Linked DNA regions of Arabidopsis thaliana. The protein of the gene in region 1 purifies or fractionates together with the protein of each later gene. This does not show direct contact. Each region holds a gene or a part of one and is shown in the gene's direction. Other genes may lie near its edges.

Region 1 (7,867 bases):
TTTCAAATAGATTTGGTGTAAGATTGATTCGACATTTCCCATTAAATCTCCAAACAAATATGTGCATCAATTCGTAACTGTACAGCTTTAAAAATACATATAATAAATGGAGTCGGCAGGTTTGTATATTAAATTAATTTGCGTGATTGGAATGATAAGCTTAAGATCCATCATCCAGTGTTGGAGGTCCCTTTAATTTTTGTCTACACATGTCACTTCCGACACCAACGGAACTCCATTTGCTTATGTGTGTATTGGATGCTTATCCCATTTAATTAAAAAAAAAAATGTTTTTAAAAGGTATTATTCCTTTATTGTCCAATTCGTATGTTTCCTAATTTTGGTAAATATGTTTTTGTTAAGTTTGAAACATCGTTCCTTGCATTACGTATGAGTAAATCATACACGAGCGTATGACCGAGTTGGAATTTACGTAATGACAGATAAATTTGTACATTTACGACATATAAAAATATGAAATCAACCTACATATCTCTTTTTTCCTTTACTATTCTGAAAATTCTAGGTTTTTGACGGAAGAAGTGAAGGCTATAATCACAGAATGGAGGACTCTGTCACGCATTGTGTTCTAGTATGCCATATTTAACACTTGTCAATATGGCTTCGAAAACCGATAATTTTCCCTAACTAAAAATAAAATAAATCTAAGTGGCCACCTAAATGTGTTTAGTTATTATCATACATGCATGCAACATTTTATCATGGCATGTGAAATGTAATCATAATGGAGGATAGACTGCTTACTACTTAAAACAATAAACCACTAATTATCAGTTTTGAAATGATTTATTTTTGTTTAAAGAAGAGATAATGTTATATAATGTTGTGGGAGACAAAGATAGATCCAAGCCAGGTAAGGTTAGCTTGTTGATCTAAATTGATTAAAGCATTTGTTGAACAAGACTTCGCCATCTGTACCACCCATTCTTCTTTCAATTATGGATTATAATTTAGTAAATATCATATATATGCCTCCATTATAACTTTTATTATTGACATTATTGCTTTCTTAAAAGCAAGTTTATTTATCAAAAACTATTGATTGGTCATTGTGAAACGTTATATTTGACCGTCAATAAAACTATACATAACGCAATACATACATTATTATATCAGGTAAAGACTAAGTTATATTAGTATCTTATAAAATGACAATAACATGTTCTACGTAAAAAAAAAGGACAAGGATTATCGGTTACTTTAATAGTTTGAATGATTCTTGATCTAATAATTAAAACATTGGCGTTAGATGTAAGTTTTTGAAATTTAAATTGATTTTAAATGAATCAGTTGATCTAGACAATTAATTTGGTAGAACACCGATCAGAGACCCTTCTTCCAGAAACTGTGATTATAAAACGTGTACTAAGAGACAAGTAAAAATCTTCGTTTTTCTTAATTTAATGCATAGTTGGCTATTTGCGTGCATCATTATTTGCACAATAGTAAATATTCGATTCACGTCGTGTGCAGGAACCCATTCTTTTATCACTTCCAGTAACTTATGACGTTTTAGGATATGAAACATATTTCACCGTTGATCTTGTTTTCTTGTTGTTGTTTAATATCATTCACCGTTGATCTTGTTATTGAGTTTTTCTTTGCTTTTCAATTCGGTTTTATGTAACCGCTAAAAATTAATGGAGAAGAAACCCGTCTTATACCTACAAACCGGGAAATGTGAAGAAGAAACAAACCGGTCGGTTATTGAATTTTAGGGTTTTAAGGTTTTGACCGATGGTTGACTTAGGGCGCGCTTCTCTGCTTTGGTACACACACACACACATCAAGCTGCTTCTTTTACCTCTCTTCTCGCTTCACTCACCATCCTCAGGTTCGTTCTCTGTCACAAACATTACTTCCGACGAAAGAATTAATTTTACAGTTAGGAATTGTAATCAGTGCGAGTAAGTACAGGAATCGAAGCCGGTTTTGTGTTTCTTTTGCTTGATTTTTCTCCGTTTATTCTCAACTTTGAGACTTTTGCTTCATTGGTTACCCTATAAAGCTTGAAACTTTATTCGAATTGAGATGTTCCATTAGATATTTTCAAACAAGTTCCTGCCTTTTTACTCTACATTAAGCTAAAACCTGTGTTTGATTGAATTTTTGATTTCGGCTTAATTAAGGTTAGGCAAAACCAATAACTGGTGTGAGAATGAGGAAGAAGGTAGACGAACGTATAAGGACTCTGATTGAAAACGGTGTTAAACTTAGACACCGTTCCATGTTTGTCATTATTGGTGATAAGGCTCGTGACCAGGTAAAATTCTTCTTGTTATAGATAATTTCTACTTTGCATTTTCCTCGGATTTCAAGTCTAATACTTTTCTGATTCTGTTATGTAACAGATAGTTAATCTTCATCACATTTTGTCAAAATCGGTGGTCAAGTCTAACCCAAGTGTGCTATGGTGCTACAAGAATAGACTCGACATTAGCAGGTTTGATTTATCAACCGATTCAAATATTAGATATTTGCAAAAGTTGAAGCGTTGAAATTTTGTTATTAAAAACTTAATTGAAGCCTAGTTAATAATTAGGTGTGAGTTTCTTTTGAATTTTCCATGCCAAGAGAATGATGGAACCTGGTTTTGTGAGCTATGTTACGCATATTTGTGGAGTTCTATTTGTTGATAACTTGGTCCTGAAAAAGAGTGGGTGTAATTGGTTTTGTGTGCAGTCACAATAAAAAACGTGCTAAGCAGTTGAAGAAGATGAAGGAGAGAGGACAATTAGATCCTGAAAAACTCGACGCTTTCTCTCTTTTTCTTGATGTGGTGGATGTTACTCATTGCTTGTACAAAGATTCTGAAAGAATTCTTGGGAATACTTTTGGCATCTGCATCTTACAGGTACTCTTGATTAATGGCTGAAGAAACATTTACTTTTGCTGCAGCTTACTCATATTTGCATCCTATTCTTACTATGTTCAGGATTTTGAAGCTCTAACTCCAAATCTACTAGCAAGAACAATAGAGACAGTCGAAGGGGGTGGGCTAGTTGTATTATTATTACAATCGCTTGCTTCACTTACTAGTCTCTGCACCATGGTTATGGTATGAAGACTGATTTTGCTAGTTATGTTGTTTGCTAACTACTTATTTGGAGTTACATGATTGGTTCTGTTCATATCAGGATGTGCATGATAGATTTCGAACCGAGTCACACTCTGAAGCTTCCGGACGTTTCAATGAACGATTTCTGTTGTCACTAGCATCTTGCAAAGCATGCGTTGTCATGGATGATGAGTTGAATTTATTGCCACTTTCATCTCATATCAAATCTATCACAAAAGTTCCAACAAAGGAGGTAATTTCTATAGCAAATTCACACTTCTTTTCATGGGTTGTTTAGAGAGATTGTCTTCCATCATACCAGTTAGCATCTTTAACTTTTCAATTTTATGTGTTTGTAATAAAAGGATTCGGAAGCGCTTTCTGAGGCAGAACGAGACCTGAAGAGTTTGAAAGATGCACTAAACGATGATTTTCCTGTTGGTCCTTTAATTAATAAGTGTTGTACATTGGATCAGGTATGTGGTTTAGTCAGCTGTGCACATTGGATTAAGAAGTGTTGCACATTGGATCAGTATTGAATTTTCTCTTTTGTAGGGTAAAGCTGTTGTCACATTTTTCGATGCAATATTGGATAAGACCCTCCGTAGCATAGTTGCTCTGATTGCTAGTCGTGGGCGTGGAAAATCTGCTGCACTTGGTCTAGCTGTTGCTGGGGCTGTTGCTGCTGGGTAGGCTTGAGTTATTTTGAGCTTTTATTCATGTTTGTTAATAGTATTTATTGTCTTATTAATTCTATATCGTATTTTCTGTTAGGTACTCTAATATTTACGTAACAGCACCGAGCCCAGATAACTTGAAAACAGTCTTCGAGTTTGTTTGCAAAGGTTTCGATGCACTTGAATATAAGGTAATATGAGCTTCTTCTGCATCACACATATGAAGCAATTTTCTAGAAACTGCTGGACTTCTTCCATTTTGTTGGGGTTGTCATAGATTTGAAATCTGCACTATCTCCTGGAAGAAGAAAAATGTTACTTTGTTTTGCATGTTAATTCAGGATTACCATATAATTTTCTGAACTCTATCTTCAACTATATATTTGAAGGAACATCTTGAATATGATGTCGTGAGAAGTGTGAATCCTGAATTTAATAAAGCCATCGTACGGATCAATATCTTCAAGCAGCACAGGCAAACTATCCAGGTCTGTCCAACCCTGAATTTTTGTAAGAAGCCGTAGTTTGTGTCGATCGATAAATTGCTTTATTCTTCTTCTTTTTTCATGCAGTATATACAACCGCATGAACATGAAAAGCTCTCACAAGTGGAGCTGTTGGTTATTGATGAAGCGGCAGCTATTCCTTTGCCAGTTGTGAAGTCTCTACTTGGCCCTTACCTAGTTTTCTTATCATCTACTGTCAGTGGGTATGTGAAACAGGAGTAAAATGCTTATATTCCCATGATATTGAAAGATATATGCATGGCTTGATTATATATAGGGTCAGTCAGGCTGCTGATTTTTGTTTGTTTTACCTTCTTTGCCAAAGCTATGAAGGTACTGGTAGATCTTTGTCCCTGAAACTCCTCCAACAGTTAGAAGAGCAAAGCCGAGCCCCTGTCACTGGTGTTGAAGGCTCTCTTTCTGGTATTTACTACTACATCTTGCTTTCACTTTTGGCATGTGGCAACCTGGATATTTTTTTTTTGTAGAGATCCCAATATTATTATTAAGAATATAGAAGTTCATCTTTTTTAAAATATCGCTCCAATGCCTTTGCGTCGGGGCTTATCAGCTAGCATTTTCATAAGAAAGAAATTTATGTTTTTGAAGTAAACCATTGCTCCAATTCCTAAGTTTGAGGAATATATGTGAATGATTTTTTCCAAGAACGTAGGTTTTGTTGTTAAGTTTGGCCTTAAGGGCCTCCGAAGGTTGATTGAAACTTCATGCAGAGTAGTCCTCTGTCTGATGGGTGTTCATATTCATTAGAACTAATGTTCTCTCACGCAGGGCCTACTACTTTCATATCTTAGTATGTAGTATTAGATATCCTCTTTTTCCTACACTATCTAGTTGATGTGATTCGTTATCTTGGGGAACTCCGTGACTGTCTGAATTTTCTTTGGATTCAGGTTGCCTTTTCAAGAAAATAGAACTTAGTGAGTCTATAAGATACGCTTCTGGAGATCCAATTGAATCCTGGCTTAATGGATTACTATGCCTTGATGTTGCTAATTGTCTTCCAAATCCTGCTTGGTATGGTATTTCACTTCATATAAATAGAATGTTGCCATCCTTTCTTGCCAACTAGTGATCTAGAAAATGATTTCTATTTTTCTTGCATTTGTAGCCATCCTCTGCCAAGTCAGTGTGATCTTTATTATGTCAACCGAGACACCTTATTTTCTTATCACAAGGACAGTGAGTTGTTTTTACAGGTAATAATAGTTGATTTTACAACCTACGTACTTTTTGCTACCTATATTTTGTTAATAAGGCATTAAGTGGTATTCTACAGCGAATGATGGCACTTTGTGTCTCTTCTCACTACAAGAATTCTCCTAATGATCTTCAACTTTTGTCGGATGCTCCTGCTCATCATTTGTTTGTGTTGCTCGGTATGCAATTGTTCCTCCTTTTCATAGCTAGAGATAATCATCAGATTTAGAGTATTGCCTTATTTTCTTTTTGGCACAGGTCCTGTTGATGAGTCCAAAAACCAGCTTCCTGACATACTGTGTGTTATTCAGGTATCGATTTCTTACTTTCTGCTCTGCTCTTTGAAATTGTTTGTTTGGAGAAAAACAGTTAGTTGGACTAAACAAAGAATAAAAGCAGCTATCAGTCTGCTTGAATTGTTTGTTTGCAGCAATTTTGTTTTGTAAAATCATGAATCTCATATCTTGTCGTTCGTATGTGATTGATTCTGGATGTAACTGGTCTTAAGTATCCTTGAAATTGATATTTATGCAGGTCTGTCTCGAAGGACAGATATCTCGGAAATCAGCTGAAAAAAGTTTAAGAGAAGGTCATTCACCACATGGAGATCAAATACCATGGAAGTTCTGTGAACAGTTCCGGGACGTGGTCTTTCCAAAGCTTTCTGGTGCTCGTATAGTACGCATAGCAGTCCACCCCAACGCTATGAAGGTAAAGTTTCTTAGTCGCCTCATTTTTTTAGTCTTGTAGGTTTCTTGTGAGATTTAACAAATTCTTGATTACATTCTATGTAGATGGGATATGGGTCTGCTGCGGTTGAACTCTTGACCAGGTAAATGCAATGATTACGACTTAGATGATTAATACATGCAAATATTTTAATTGATTGATACGTGCAGATACTTTGAGGGTCAGCTAGCTTCAATATCAGAAGGTGATGATGAACTGGAAGTGGAGCCTTCACCAGTCAGAGTTACCGAGGCTGCTGCAAAGGTTCTTGATTATTTTAATCTACCCTTGTAGGGTTTTGCATCATGCATTCTAGTTCTTACTTGAATTTTTTCCCTTAGGTTTCTTTGCTTGAGGAACAGATAAAGCCTCGTGCCAATCTTCCACCTTTGCTGGTTCCTCTTCGTGATCGACGACCTGAGAGACTCCACTACATCGGTGTCTCTTTTGGGCTTACTTTGGACCTCTTCCGTTTCTGGAGAAAACATAAATTTGCTCCATTCTACATCAGTCAAATACCAGTTGAGAATCCCTCTTTCCCTCTTCTCCTGAATTACTAATTCTAGTGTTGTCTAGCAGTTCATAACACAATTTCTAAAATATGGTTGGATCAGAGTGCTGTGACTGGTGAGCACACATGTATGCTTCTGAAACCATTAACCTTAAGCAACGATGAATTCGAAGTTGATGAGTCGGATGAACTGGGCTTCTTTGCTCCCTTCTATAAAGGTTTGTAAATTCTTAACAGGAATCAAATGTTTCTGTAGCTTTTAAGGATGACAGGTTTTGTTTTAATGTTTTGGCAAATTCTTCTACTCTGTTCAGATTTCAGGATAAGGTTCTCTAAACTGTTGAGTGATAAATTCAAGAAGATGGATTATAAACTTGCAATGAGGTTAGCACTAATCATATTCTCTCCCCATGCAAATTTAGACTTTTTCTGCAATACTATTTTAAGATGATTAGACTTTTCTTGGTGCGGTATTATTGTGTTGATAATATACTCGTTTCACAATTTTGTTAGTGTTTTGAACCCTAAGATCAACTTCCCAGAGGTTGATTTGACTGGAAATTCACCAGATGGATTTTTGAAGAAACTCGACGGAGTTCTTTCACCTTATGATATGGAGAGATTCAGAGCATACACTGCCAATCTCGTTGACTTCAATCTGGTTAGATTCACTCTCTGAGAGTCACTTATTTTAGGGAAATATGTACTATAGTCAGATATGTAATCTGCTTAAATAACTACACAATCATAAGATTCTGGTACAGACTCAGACAAATAATACTAACCGCATGTTCAAGCTTGATACTCTGTCTTTTCGTTTGGTTTGGTAACTATTTTTACTTTGTTATCTTTTCAAAGGTTTATGACATCTGCAAAACTCTAGCTCATCATTATTTTCAAGAGAAGCTCCCAGTCTCGCTGTCGTATGTTCAAGCTTCTGTACTCCTGTGTTTGGGCTTGCAGGAGTCAGATTTCTCGAGCATCGAGGTATAACATATCTACTCTTTAAAATAAATCGATGATCTGGACCAGCTGAATTATGTTTCACCACACATGTGGAGATAAATTTCTTGACACATCTGGTTGTTCTAAATTGGATCATGACGTTGACTTACAGAGACAAATGCAGTTGGAGAGGGGCCAAATA
Region 2 (4,553 bases), about 20 Mb from region 1:
CGCTTCTCTTAACCCTTGTCTTCTCACCGATCTCCTTCCTCCTCCTCCGTCGGTTAAAATCAAAGGCGTTGCTTCCGTCGTCGTCTCTCTTGACATTTTGCTTTCTCTTTTCAAAGTTTCTTCCTTTCTTCGAAATTTCAAAAATTGATATCGAATTGATGAAATTGGTGAAGCTTTACGCCATTAAATTGGGGCAATTTCAATCTCAGAGACAATTTCGGATTTGTTAGGGTTTCGATTCGAACAGAGAGAGAGAGAGACAGAAAGAGAAAGAAGATGATGAGTCGGACAAATCGGGAAACGTGATGTTTGAAAAATGAATATAAAAAATCAAAATTGTAATGAATTTAATGTCTCCTCAAATGACAACCAGAGAAATTAGGGGACATATATGTAATATTCAGTTTTTTCAGTGGCTATATGGTAAACTTACACTAACTTGATTCAAATTAAGGGTGGGTAAGAAACTGAACCAAACCATATTAAACCGAAATTTATTCTTTTGTCCAACTGAGTAAAAAATTAACAAAAATTCGAAAAATTTTAAGCATAATTTTTAATCGAAAACCGGAATAAATCTAAATTAAACTCAAATCCAAATTGAAAATTTTTAATCGAAAAAATTATAGTTTATACGACATCTATTTAGGGAACAAACCCAAAAAAAAACTCAACTAATTTTTATTTGGACGTTTAATACCCAATTGTTTTTGGTTGGAAGGTAAATACACGAAGTAATAAAACCGTGCAATTTAATACACAAACAAGTAATTGTTGTTATTTTCATACTCACGATCTCACAACAAAAATAAAATTCCAATTTTACCCTTACCATCTCAATTAATTATTAATTTTTTTATAATATAATATTAAATTTTATAATTTTGAATAAAAAATAATTTTATTAACATTTTAGTTTATGGTCTCTAATTTTTATTATTATTATATTATTCTAAAATTTAACATAAAAATTATAGAAAATTAAAAATATTTTAAAATGGCCGGTAAATATTCTTCGTAGTGAGAAACTCTCTTTTCGATTGTATATCCTTCAAGAATCAAACTATTTTCGACAAAATCTCAACCCGAATCTCATCGTATTTCTCAAGATTTATCAATTCATAAAAATGGCTAATTTTGTTTTTAGTAGCAAAATAGCTAACCTCAACCCAAATCTCAACGAATTAGATTAATCTTTGATTCTAAATTTCCTTAAAGAGAAAACGATTCTTTGATATTGCAACGATAGAAGAAGATTGTAATAATGACTATTTTAAAATATTTTTGATTTTCTATAATTTTTATGTTAAATTTTAGAATAATATAATAATAATAAAAATGAAAATTTAAATTTTAGAGACCATAAACTAAAATGTTAATAAAATTAATTTTTATTTAAAATTATATAATTAATATTATATTATCAAAAAATAATAGTTAATTGAGATGGTAAGAGTAAAATTGGAATTTTATTTTTGTTGTGAGATCGTGAGTATGAAAATAACAACAATTAATTATTTGTGTATTAAATTGTATGATTTTATTATTTCGTGTATTTACTTTCCAACCAAAAACAATTGAGTATTAAACGTCCAAATAAAAATTAATTGAGGTTTGTTTTGGTTTTTTTTCCCATCTATTTATAATAAAATAGACCAATTTTAAATTTATCGAACCGAACTGGGCATAAATGTAACAACGAGTTTTAAAAGGCGGGGCTATATAGTGAAATTAATATACTTTGGGTACAGAATTCGGATGTTTTCTTTTTATAGGCCCTTTAATGAAATGATTGTATAAAAGTAAAACCCTTAATCGGATCCTCCAGCAATTTTCCCTCCAAACCAGAAAACCCTCCAAATCTCACCGGTCGGAGATTCCTTCTCTTCCGACTGATAATGGCGTCTTCTTCATCAACCTCTACCGGTGACGGATACAATGAACCATGGGTGGAGAAATACAGGCCGAGCAAAGTAGTCGATATCGTTGGAAACGAAGACGCCGTCTCCAGACTTCAAGTCATTGCTCGCGACGGCAACATGCCTAATCTTATCCTTTCCGTAAGATTTTACTCTTCTGTTGACACTCTTTGATTTAAACCCTCCTCGAATTTGCTAAAAAGTTTTAGGTTTGATGAAAACTTGATCAATTAGGGCATTTTGGGTTTGTTTACTGTGTAGATTTCATGATAAAGCTTAGATTTTGAGGGTTTTTAATCAATTTCTATTGTCTGCCAAAGTTAATGAAGGTTTGATTTTTAGAAAATCTCTGTGTTTAGTATTACTTGTGGAGATTTGATATATGATTTTGTGTTGTTTGGTTGTATATCCTTAGGGTCCTCCTGGAACAGGTAAAACCACAAGCATTTTGGCTCTTGCTCATGAGCTCCTTGGCACGAATTACAAGGAGGCTGTTCTGGAGTTGAATGCATCTGATGATAGGTATGTGATGCCAATCTTTTACCTATGGGATGTTGTTCTATCTTCAATCGTTGTTTGGTTAGACATCTTCAATGTTCTGTTATGTTTGTAGGGGTATTGATGTTGTAAGGAACAAAATTAAGATGTTTGCGCAGAAGAAAGTAACACTTCCTCCAGGGCGTCATAAGGTTGTTATCCTAGATGAAGCTGACAGGTTAGTGACTTTTACTTGAGTATTCCTTCTCAAGTTGAATTGTTCCAGTTAAGTGTTTTTTTTTCTGACTTTCTGTTTTCGGTTTCTAAAAAACTAGTATGACATCTGGAGCACAACAAGCATTGAGGAGAACGATTGAAATCTATTCGAACTCTACGCGGTTTGCACTTGCTTGTAATACATCAGCCAAGATTATTGAGCCCATTCAGAGTAGATGTGCCTTAGTTCGATTCTCTAGATTATCTGATCAGCAGATACTAGGCCGTCTCTTGGTGGTGGTTGCAGCAGAGAAAGTACGGATTTGCCACTTTTCTTTCATTCGACATGTTTACTTACTGCAATTTTGAAAATTTTCTAATTGCTTATGTTTTCAATCTCTCAAGGTTCCGTATGTGCCTGAAGGCCTTGAGGCGATAATCTTTACAGCTGATGGTGACATGAGGCAAGCTCTGAACAACTTGCAAGCCACATTCAGCGGGTTTTCGTTTGTCAACCAAGAAAACGTCTTCAAGGTTTGAAACAAAACCTTAATTCACTTTGGCTTATAAAACACATTGGTTTCATATCATCAATCAAAGATCTCTTCACTTAGGTCTGTGACCAGCCTCACCCGCTTCATGTCAAGAACATTGTTCGCAATGTGTTGGAAAGTAAGTTTGACATCGCCTGTGACGGCTTAAAGCAGCTCTATGATTTGGGCTACTCTCCAACCGACATTATCACAACGCTTTTCCGTATAATAAAGAATTACGATATGGCTGAGTATCTGAAACTTGAGTTCATGAAGGTATACATCTGATTCTCCTTGACAGCTCAAAACATCCAAACTTTCGTCTAACACCAATGCTTTTCTTCAGGAAACTGGATTTGCGCATATGAGAATCTGTGATGGAGTTGGATCTTATCTTCAGCTATGTGGTCTTCTGGCTAAGTTATCCATTGTTCGTGAAACAGCGAAAGCACCTTAAGTTAGGTAACTTCCACTCATCTCTAGTGATGAACTGGTGGCCGGTCTATGTTTAAACCAAGTTGGTTAAATCTCGTTGTTTGAGAATTCGGATAGATGTTGGAACTTCCATGCTGTATTGCTCTGTTTTCTAGATTTGAATTGCTTGTGAATGTTTCTGAATATTAAGCTTAATCCTAACCAGTTTGGTATACCAACACATTTTTTTATATAATACCATGCTATTTGTTTAAATCACATAAATGAAAAAAACAATACACAGATTATTTTACACATTACAACCACTCTATATAGTCTACGCAAGTGCGAGAGATGAATCGTAATTTTTGTAGGTAAAATGTTGAACCTATTTGTGTAATTCGATAACACTATATGAGTAAGGCATGACATTGTGAAATGGTGTAAACTCTTGGTCTGTTACATTGACTTTATATTATGAATAAACACACTTGTGACCAAAAAAAAGAAAAAAGAACTGGGAACAAGAAACGAAATAAAGTTATATTTATTGAACCAAAACTATAAAATACGTTTGGTTAAAAACCAAATCTACTACAGTAACCATAATGATGACACGTCTGAAATCTTCTTCTGTAGCTCGTGTGTGTTAACCTAACATTGAAATACACAAAACAACGTATCAGAGTCATCTTCATGAAGCTTACAGACACGATAACAACTAAATACACACCATGTAACATAAGGACTCTGTTGCGAAAAATATCAGAGTAAAGCAACATGATTCACCTCAGACTCCTCCTACCTCGAGGACAAACTGTTTTAAGAAAGCATATTGAGAAAGCTTTTGTCCAATCTCCCATCATGCAACATATTTGTCACCAAGCTAATGGTTGAAGCATCTCCAACAAACCCAGAACTCCTCATTTCTTTGATGAGTTCTGCTGATGCGGCTCTGTCACAATCTCTAAGGTTTGCTCTGATAAGCGTATTA

Evidence for each region.
Region 2: the proteins of AT1G10490 (region 1) and RFC2 fractionate together in Arabidopsis thaliana (co-fractionation; one large-scale study listed by BioGRID). This does not show direct contact.

The regions. Positions count from the first base shown.
Region 1 is NC_003070.9:3,451,410-3,459,276, forward strand, and holds the start of AT1G10490 (GNAT acetyltransferase (DUF699)), read left to right. Parts: upstream 1-1,781; 5' UTR 1,782-1,855; intron 1,856-2,150; 5' UTR 2,151-2,179; coding exon 2,180-2,284; intron 2,285-2,372; coding exon 2,373-2,464; intron 2,465-2,703; coding exon 2,704-2,875; intron 2,876-2,956; coding exon 2,957-3,079; intron 3,080-3,158; coding exon 3,159-3,332; intron 3,333-3,444; coding exon 3,445-3,555; intron 3,556-3,634; coding exon 3,635-3,768; intron 3,769-3,853; coding exon 3,854-3,947; intron 3,948-4,145; coding exon 4,146-4,244; intron 4,245-4,328; coding exon 4,329-4,465; intron 4,466-4,587; coding exon 4,588-4,685; intron 4,686-5,173; coding exon 5,174-5,297; intron 5,298-5,391; coding exon 5,392-5,479; intron 5,480-5,559; coding exon 5,560-5,659; intron 5,660-5,738; coding exon 5,739-5,791; intron 5,792-6,014; coding exon 6,015-6,191; intron 6,192-6,274; coding exon 6,275-6,312; intron 6,313-6,379; coding exon 6,380-6,473; intron 6,474-6,550; and 11 more. UniProt on the Arabidopsis thaliana protein: RNA cytidine acetyltransferase with specificity toward both 18S rRNA and tRNAs. Catalyzes the formation of N(4)-acetylcytidine (ac4C) in 18S rRNA. Required for early nucleolar cleavages of precursor rRNA at sites A0, A1 and A2 during 18S rRNA synthesis.
Region 2 is NC_003070.9:23,421,117-23,425,669, reverse strand, and holds RFC2 (replication factor C 2), read left to right. Parts: upstream 1-1,755; 5' UTR 1,756-1,898; coding exon 1,899-2,060; intron 2,061-2,334; coding exon 2,335-2,441; intron 2,442-2,532; coding exon 2,533-2,634; intron 2,635-2,731; coding exon 2,732-2,927; intron 2,928-3,017; coding exon 3,018-3,146; intron 3,147-3,226; coding exon 3,227-3,421; intron 3,422-3,491; coding exon 3,492-3,602; 3' UTR 3,603-3,836; downstream 3,837-4,553. Other genes in the region: AT1G63170 (Zinc finger, C3HC4 type (RING finger) family protein), read right to left, coding at 1-96; AT1G63150 (Tetratricopeptide repeat (TPR)-like superfamily protein), read right to left, coding at 4,382-4,553. UniProt on the Arabidopsis thaliana protein: May be involved in DNA replication and thus regulate cell proliferation.